Canis lupus familiaris: one gene and its partner. The protein of the gene in region 2 interacts with the protein of the main gene of each other region in a pairwise test. Links are inferred from orthologs where the notes say so. Each region holds a gene or a part of one and is shown on either strand. Other genes may lie near its edges.

Region 1 (4,371 bases), on a different chromosome or scaffold from region 2:
CTCCCCACTCCTGCTGGGCCGGTCTGGCTCTCCCTTCAGGGGCCTGGAGGAGCAAGCAGCCAGCACCCAGTGAGTGCTCGCCCTGTGGCAGGGCCCCTGTCTGAGGCCAAGGTCCTGCCCCCATGAAGTACCCAGTCTGCCTACCCACACACAGTAGGCGCTCAAGTAATCCTCAAACTGAGTTAAAACTCCCAACAAAGCAAAGGCTGGGCAAGACCATACGGCTGTCTCTCCCCCTCCCACTCTCCCTGGGGTCCCTAATGCCGAAGGGGTCCAGGGGTTCAGAGTAAGGAGACCCTACTGTTTCCTAAGGTCCTTTTTTTTTTTTTTTTTTTTTGGTAGATTTAATTTATTCATGAGAGACAGAGAGAGAGGCAGAGACACAGGCAGAGGGAGAAGCAGGCTCTGTGCAGGGAGCTGGATGCGGAACTGGATCCCAGGACCCTGGGATCATGCCCTGAGCTGAAGGCAGACATTCAACCACTGAGTCATCCAGGTGCTCCCCTAAAGTCCCTCATTTTGTATTAACTAACAGTTATGAAGCACCTAGTGTATGCCCAACTGTGTTTTGGGTGGAGGGCCAAGAATCACTACCACTGAGTCTGGGGGCTCAGAGCAGCACTCACCTCACTGTCTTACAAGAGGAAGGGCAAGGATTCACAAAGTCTGCTGGAACGAGAGGCTTTAAGGACGGGGGAGAGAACTGTGCTGGGGCTGGGAAGGAGCTGGATGTCAGGGAGCTGCTCTGGAGGGTGGGGCACCCCCCCCCTTAAAGGGACAACGGGAACAGGCAAGGTTATCTTGTCCGCTCTCCAGGATGGGCAGTTCAGTTGGCCCATCAGACCATTAAAGAGCAAGTCCAGAGTTCTAGTGCCTTGTCCAAGGGCACAAAGCAACACAGTGGCCCCAGGAAGCCGAAGTCCTGGCCAGTCTCCAAAGTCTCCAGTAGGGGAACAGGCAGGGGTCATCTCTAGCTCGAGGTGGCCAGGAGGTCCTTCGGAGAGGAGCCCAGGGCAGCACCCTTCGGCAGGCCCGGGTGCGCCGGCGCGGGCCGGAGAGGCCTGCGGGGCCCTCTTTACCTTTAAGAGGGGTGCGGGACCGAAACCCCGGGCCGGGGGCTGGCGTGGGGCGGAGCCCAGAGTCCGGCCGCGAGGTGGCAGGAGCCGGCTTACCTGCTTCCCGCCACCGGGCGGGGCGGGGCCGGGGGCGGGGCCGGGGGCGGGGCCGCCACCAACCTGTGGACCGCCCGACGAGTCGCGGGGACCGGCCGGGGACCGCGGGGGGCCCGGAAGCCGGGGGCGAGCGAGCAAACAAACTTGGAGAGAGGAGTGACCTGGGGGCCGGGGGCGGAGTCGCCGCGGAGGGGGCGGGAGCGAGCGGCCGCCCGAGCGCCGCCGGCCCAGGAAGCGGAGAGCGCCGCCCACCCATCCGGGGCGAGCGCGGCGCTGCGGGCGCAGGCAGGCTGGGCCGGGGGCTGCCGGGCCCTCGCCCCCCACCGTGACCCCGCGGCCCCCCGCCCGCGCCCAAGATGATGAAGAGGCAGCTGCATCGCATGCGGCAGCTGGCCCAGACGGGCAGCTTGGGACGGTGAGTGTCAACCCTCTCCCTCCCCGCCCCACACTCACCCCCGCCGGACCCTAGCGGCCGTCGAGGGGCGGGGAGGCTGGGGACGGCGGGACAGACACCCTCGGACCGGCCAGAGCCCTGCCGTCGCTCCCCCGCCTCCGAGAGCCACCCCCACGCCCGGCCAGAGCGGGAGGGGCAAGGCCCTTTGGGGAAGGGGGCACCCCCAGCCCTCTGCGTGCAGGGAGGATCAGGGATGCTGGGTCTTCTCGGCCTCCATGAGCCTCTTGAGCGAACGGTCCTTCCTGGCCTCACTTGTCCCCTCTGTACAATGGGGACAGCTAACCATCTCTGGTCGCCTGGAGTGGGGGCGATCGGGGGCAATTGGGGGCGATCGGGCCCCAAACCTTGGGGGAGGAGAGGAGACTAGGTCCCTGTGGTGGGAGGAGGGGCCTCTTGTCCTGCTTTGTGCCTCTCCCCCTCCACCCCACCCCCAGCCCAGAGGCCTCCAGCTTCTCTATCTTGCTTCTGCTTTTCCCAGCCTCAGGTGGAAACATCCCCAGGTCTCTGTTCTCACCAGCTGGCCCCCAGAGCCGGTGGAGTGGAGGCCAGAAGTTTGGGGAGCTCCCAAGGCCTGTCTTCTCTCCTCTTCCCTCTGTGTTGGGAGTTTCCCATTCTCTTGGCCCAGGGGAGGGGACTGAGAGTCCAAAGGCCTGGCTCTAGTCTCCCACCGCATGGATGCCTATGTGAGCCTCGGCAGTCAGGCGCCCTTGCTCTGGGCTTCAGTGTCCCCAAGTGTCCCTGAACAGGGGTTCAGGGCTTGCACACCACTGCAGTCCTGACTCCTGCATGACTGACAGCCCAGGAGTCTGAGCTCGCACACTTCCCGTTCTTGGGGCCTGCCTGGCCTCCTCTCCCCAGGGTCAGCAGAAGAGGCTGGGGTGGCTTCCCAACCTCACCGCCTTGGGTTTCATCCACCCTCTCTCAGGACACAGCCCTGGGTGGAGGAGGAAAAAGCCTCGTATCCTATTCCCGCCCCCATGGAATGTGCTCCGACTGGGATGAGGCTGACAGGCAGGCCACCCAGGGCGGGCCCCAAGAGGAGGGGCCCTGGAAGCAACAGGGGTCCAGGTGCCCTGCTGAGGGGGCAGGGGGAGGCAGGGGGTTTCCTAACCTGGGCGGCCTCAGCAGAAGCTCCTCCCTCCCCCACAGCACCCCGGAGACAGAGACGGCTGAGTTCCTTGGGGAGGACCTGCAGCAGGTACATGCCTGGGCCGGCAGCGGGTGGCAAGGCAGGCCTGTGCAAGCTGTTAGCAGAGGGCCGCGTGAGGACGCCATTTGGGGGACCCGGTTGAGTCATCCCCCAAGCTGTTGGCCATGGTCTCCAGGAGGAGGGAAGAGAAAAGTGGCTCCTGCTCGGGGAAAGAATGGGGCAGTGGGGGGCAGGGGGCAACCACCTCCTATGATCCATAAACCCCGACCCCCTCTCCAGGTAGAGCAGCGCCTGGAGCCGGCCAAGCGAGCAGCCCACAATGTCCACAAACGGCTGCAGGCCTGTCTGCAGGGCCAGAGCGGGGCGGACATGGACAAGCGGGTGGTGAGTGGGGGTCCCAGGGAGTTGGGGCCTGGACAGGACACCTCTGCCCAGTGGGGGAGTGAGGGCAGGGCTGGGGTCTCCCTGCCCATCTGAGTCTCTGGCTCTGAGGGGGTGGGGCCTGCATTGTCCCAAGACCCTTCAGGCACCCCAGTGACACGGCTGTATCTCTTCCCCACCCCCTTCTTGACCCTGGTCCCATCTGCACGGACTCCCCTGAGGCAGAGCCAGGCCTCCTACAGCACCTGAACTTCTCTGTCTGGTCAGCCCCAGAGCGGACCAGAGCAGGCCTCTGAACTGAGGCCGTGTGGGAGGGCTTCCTGAAGGAAGTGGCATTTGGGCTGATATTAATACTCACCGGTATCAATCCACAGCGAGCATTTGTAGACCGGTGACTGCTAGTCTGTTGCTCAGCTGTGTCAACGTGTTGTCTCACTTACCGCTGACGACACCCCTAGGAGGAGGCTGCCCTCATTAGCACTTTGTACAGATGAGGAAATGGACACCAGGAGGTGAAGTCTCAAGGTCACACGACTAATAAGTGGCAGAACTGAGATTTAATCCCTGGTCTTTCTGACCCAAGCTGGTGCTCTTCGTAACTTGTAGGTGGGAGGGTTTTGAGTTCAGCAGTGACTAAGGCCAAGCCACAGATTCCCCTGGGGCAGGGGAACAGCCCCACTCCCAGGGAGCTCCTAGCGCCTCTGTCCTCCTTCCAGCTGTGTGAACTCGGGCAAGCTCCATGCCCCCTCTTCTTAGTTTTCTGGTGTGGGAGGGTACTTGGTCATCCCTTCGTGCTCAGTGGATTCGTTTCTGGGAGGCGAAAAGGGCACCCCAGATGGGACGGGGTGGGGGACATGGTCACAGGGAGATGTCGCTCAGCCATGCCTGGTCATCATCCTGTCTCCACTCCCACCTAAGACTGTGGCCATCTTGGCTTCCCTGCTCCCCTGTCCATGCTCAGTGCCTCAGTGGGGCTCCGTCCCCGAGGAACTGTCTACATGCTTGGGTGGGGTGGAGGGAGACCCAGCAGGTGCTCACAGCCCGGCCTGCCCTTCCTGCAGAAGAAGCTCCCCCTCATGGCTCTGTCCACCACGATGGCCGAGAGCTTCAAGGAGCTGGACCCCGATTCCAGCATGGGGTGAGCACAGACAGGGCCCCGTCCCTCACCCAGAGATGCCAAAGGGGGATCTGAGCTGGGAGGGGGTCCAGGTGTG
Region 2 (4,510 bases):
AGGGCCACTCCCCCCTGCCCCGGCTCCCCTAATCCCCCCTCCCAAGATTCCGGAAAATCCGGCCGGCCCGGCGTGAGTCAGGACCAGAGGGGCAGGATTCGCCGCAGCTCGGGGGGCCCCAGAATGTCCAGGGGCCAGGCACCATGTTCCCCGGGTCGCCATGCTTCCCGGGGTCCCCCGCACACACGTGACTCCGTTTCCCCCACTGACCCCACTGCACCTCCGAAAGAAATTCCAGAGTTGTGGGGGAAGGAATCTGGTTACCCCCTCTGCATCCAGGAACCCAGGGATGCCACCGCCCCCATAAAAAGGAGGGGTCAGAGGTCCTGGCTAGAATAAGGGGAAATTTCTGGGGCTTCCAGAGCAGAGGTCAGAAGCAGCCTGGGGGCGGCCCCTCCCAGTGCCTGGGGCGGGATGGGGGAGGGGGCTGCGAGGCCAAGCCTCGCAGCCCCCTCCCCCCTAGCGCGACCCAAGCCCCAAGGTGTTGATTGGAGCCTCCGAAAGGCGGTCAGAACTTCCAGGTCCCACGTGGGCTTGGAAGTGGCCACAGGGTCCCCTCCCCCGCCCAAGCCGGACAGGCGGGCTGCGGGCAGGGACCCAGGGGCCGTAAGATAAGCCGCCGGCCCAGCCAGGGTGCTCAAAATAGGTGACCTCGCCCGGCCGCCCCGGCCTGGTCCCAGGACTCCTGCCCTCCTCACTCGGAACCCCGCGCTCAGTTTCCCGACTCGGCGGCTGCAAGGTCGCCCTTCGCCCCGGGCGTCCTGAAACGCCCTGGGCAACTCCGAGGGAGGGCGGAAAGCGGGGACTCCGGGGGTCTCCGAAGGGGAAAGCGCCGAGCCCCCGCTAAGGTCGTGCAGGAGCAAAGGAGGGGGGGTCTGAACTCCAGAAAAGGAGAAACTTGGAAGCCGGGCCGATCGGACTCACCCACAGCTCGGTGCCCCAATCCATGCTGCTCCCGCCGAAGCCGCCGCCGCCGCCGCGCCCGGTCCCCGCCGCCCGCCGCCCGCCGCCCGCCGCCGGGAGACTCAGCCTGGAGCGGCGCGCCCGGCCCAGCCCGCCAGGCCCCGCCCCCCCAGGCCCGGCCCCGCCCCCGCAGGCCCTGCCACGCCCCCATCTGCGCGGAGGCCCGAACAGCGCCCTAAAGGCGGGACCCCCGAGGAGGCGGGGCCCAACGGACGCCCCGCCCCCTCTTAAAGGAAAGTTGCCACTAGACGCCACTGGACCGACCCCTTAAAGGACCCCCATCCATTTCCCAAATCCCCCGGACCCCTCTTATCCTCCCCACCCCTAAGTCGCCTGGGACTGTTGTTTTCTCTTTCCTTCAACCATTCCTTAGAGGGACCAAGACATTAAAACCCCAACCCGAGAGGTCCTTCCCCCACCACCAGCCACCCCTTCCCGCACCCCCCCCCCCCCCCCCCCCCCCCCCCCCCGCCGTCGCTGGGAGAACCTGAGGTCACCCCGCTCTTGCGGGCCGGCCCGGCTCCAGACATCTATGCTCGGCCCACTAATGGTCTGGTTCCCTCCGGCCACAGGGCGGATGGGAGGACTTCGATCCTGCCCAGAACGCGTGCCTCCGCCAAGGCCCGGTCCATTAGCACCCCCACCGCATCCTGCCTTCTCCCTCCTCCCGAAGTCTGCGCCGGGAAACTGAGGACGGGCTGTCCTTGGGGCACCGGGCCCAGGTCTTTCCTCGGTCCTCATCCAGTTCGCGCTTCCACCTGCCCATTTTCCAGGCGCATCCGTTTAGACCCAATCAGGTTTCACTGTCCAGACCCCGGTTCCGACTCCACCTCTCCCTCCAGACACTCGGGCCCTGGGGGCACAGAAGTCTGTCACTTCCCTCATAAATGCCTGTTCACACCTCATTAATCTCCTTAAGGCACTGAGATGAAAGGGTAGAGAACCCTGCAGCTCCCACCCTCATCCTCTCCTGCCTTTAGTCCTTAGTGCCAACGGAGGTGACAGACGCCCCGGAGCCCCTGGGGCACAAGTTAGGCCCCAAGCTTCTGGGCTTCCAGGAGGGGAGCCCCAGGAGCCCAGGGGACATCAGCCTGAAATCCTGGGACAGATGGCTCTGTGGGGACCTGGCCCCACCTGCTGGTGGCTTCTGAGCTAGAAAACATCCTGTTGCAAAGTGGGCTGTGCTCCAGGGTTTGGGGGACCAGCTGAGTCAGGGGCTCAGCGTGAGTTCTGCTCTCAGCCGCTTAGCCTGGTATTAGAGTCTCCACACTGGCATCAAACTCAAATTGGAATTGGGATTCGTTCCAAGTCGGCACCACAGTTGGGATAGGATCTCAACCTGGGGTCAGCTTAGCGGAGGGGTCAGCAACCCACTAGGGGGTCGTGGCCACAAACTACGGTCCAGCGGTCAGGCCTCGTCTGGGGTCAGGGCTCCGTCCAGGTTGGGAGGGCTCAACCAGAGATTAACGCTCAGGCTCAGCGTAGGTCGAGGGTCGGAAGGGAGTGGGGAAGTCTGGATTTCAGGTTGATGTCCGGGCTCAGTTGCAGCTAAGGACTCAGCCCGGTTCAGCCCCCGTCCCCGTGGACACCTCCAGCTTGGGATCTGTGGGTGGGTTTCTAGTTGCCTCACTCTAGGGTTAGAAGAGTCTCCGCCTAAGGCTGGAATTCAGCCCAGGGTCATAGGTCATCCTAGGGTCAAGATTGAGCCTGGGGCTAGGTTTCGGCCTTCCTGGATCAGCAAGATTAGAACAGGACAGGCCTCGGCAGACGTGCGTGTTTACCAAAAGCCTGTGCTCTGGCTGGGAGCCACCTCCCCAGGGTAAAGAGGGGAAGTCCGTCCTGAGGGACATTGGGAAATGTAGTTTTTGCGTGCCCTGTTGCGCTGTCTGGTCTTCCTGCATTCTGGGTAATGTAGTCCTGGACCGATCTTCAGTTGGGCGTGGGTGGAGGAATTCCGCTTCAGGGGCGGGATATCGGGTCCAGCAGCACTGGTTAGGTGGACTGTTGAGCCAATTGCATCAGCACAGTCTCCCTAGTGATTGGTGACGGCGGAGGCGGCCCATTCGGAGCTGGCGATGTCCATCTGGCGTCGTGCGAGGGGGACGGTGCGGATTTCCGAGGAAGCGGTGGCTGATTGGCTAGACGCGCGGGACCCGCCGGAGGGACGGCCCCCGCCGTGCGGCGATTGGCTCACCCGTCGGCGGGTGGGGGCGTCAGAGGCGGTGTCGGGGGAGGCGGCGGCTCCAGAGATGGCAGTGAGCGAGAGGAGGGGGCTCGCCCGCCGGAGCCCCGCGGAGTGGGGGCAGCGGCTACTGCTGCTGCTGCTCCTGGACAGCTGCTCTGGGCGCATCCACCGGCTGGCGCTGACGGTGAGTCCCTCCGCGCGGCGGGCGGCGGCGGGGGGCGCAGTTCTGTCCCCAAGAAGCCCCTGGTTTGGAGTGGTCTCGTCCTACCTCCCCCTCTGCTTACGCGGGATGGAGCGGTCCGCCGCCCCCCCGCTTCCAGGCCCCGAGTGGTCTCGTCCGAGGAGTCCCCCTCGGTCCCCGCTTGGGGCTGCGGGGCCGCCCCCGCTAGGGTCGTGCCCCACCCACTAGGGGGTAGGACTTCACCCCCCCCGGGAGCCCCAACTTTTAGTCCTGTGTGTGCATCCTCGGGGTCGCTCTGGGGCGCTGGGGCCCTGGGGGAGTCCCCGGGGCTCGTAGAACCGGGTCCCCTGGGCACTCGCTGGGATCTTGGAAGCTCACACTTGTCTGGGGGGTCGGGGCTCCGCACACCAAGATGAAGAACTCCGCTTTTGGGGTGGTGCTCACCCGCTGCCCAGACTTCCAGGTGCCCCTGGGCTTTCCCTTCCTGGACTCGCAGAGCAGCGGCTGGAGGAGCTGGGGCCACCCTGTTGCCACCTCGCGCCAGAGCCGTGGGGCTGGGCTGGTGGGGAGAGGTCTGAGCTGCCTCTGCCTCCTTGGTCTCCGGCAGGGGGAGAAGCGAGCCGAGATCCCGCTGAACAGCTTCGGCTTCTACGCCAATGGCTCCCTGGAGGTGGACCTGAGCCTCCTGCGGCTGGGCCTCCGGGAGACAGAAGAGGAGACCCCGCTGGTGAGGGGCTTTGAGGACTTTGCTGGAGGAGGGCGAGGCGCACAAGTTTCCTGCCACCACCCCACCACCCCACCACCACCACCACCACCACGCCGATGAGAGGTGGCTCAGCCTCTCATCCATGGGATCTTGGGCAAATCCATTGGCCTCTCTGAGCCTCCGTGTCCTCATCTGTAACATGGGAATAATAAGGCCTCGTGCAATATGTGCAACCCTGAGCGGGGGTTGGTGGAGGGAGGGCACACCAGTGCACAAGATATCCCCAGTTCCCGCAGTCGGAACGAGTAGCCAGCATTTTTTTTTTTTTTTTGAATGGCCACTGAGTACCAGGTAACCAGGCAAAGCACTTTCCATGGGTCCGTTCTCTCACAGCCACCTCTCAGGGATGCTGTGCAAATGTTACACCTGTAAACCCAACCTTACAGATGTTCACACAAGCTCAGAGGTATGTGCC

What was found.
Region 1: the proteins of TRIP10 (region 2) and SH3BP1 interact in binary tests that used the Homo sapiens proteins (3 or more experiments, as listed by UniProt). The two-hybrid records come from large-scale screens. The link is inferred for Canis lupus familiaris from reciprocal best matches to the Homo sapiens genes TRIP10 and SH3BP1.

The regions. Positions count from the first base shown.
Region 1 is NC_049231.1:27,963,821-27,968,191, reverse strand, and holds the start of SH3BP1 (SH3 domain-binding protein 1), read left to right. Parts: upstream 1-1,528; coding exon 1,529-1,587; intron 1,588-2,058; exon of another isoform or gene 2,059-2,301; coding exon of another isoform or gene 2,302-2,309; intron 2,310-2,775; coding exon 2,776-2,824; intron 2,825-3,055; coding exon 3,056-3,160; intron 3,161-4,218; coding exon 4,219-4,295; intron 4,296-4,371. UniProt on the Homo sapiens protein: GTPase activating protein (GAP) which specifically converts GTP-bound Rho-type GTPases including RAC1 and CDC42 in their inactive GDP-bound form.
Region 2 is NC_049241.1:53,950,661-53,955,170, forward strand, and holds the start of TRIP10 (cdc42-interacting protein 4), read right to left. Parts: upstream 2,885-4,510; 5' UTR 2,865-2,884; coding exon 2,745-2,864; intron 1,025-2,744; exon of another isoform or gene 949-1,024; coding exon of another isoform or gene 925-948; intron 1-924. UniProt on the Homo sapiens protein: Required for translocation of GLUT4 to the plasma membrane in response to insulin signaling. Required to coordinate membrane tubulation with reorganization of the actin cytoskeleton during endocytosis.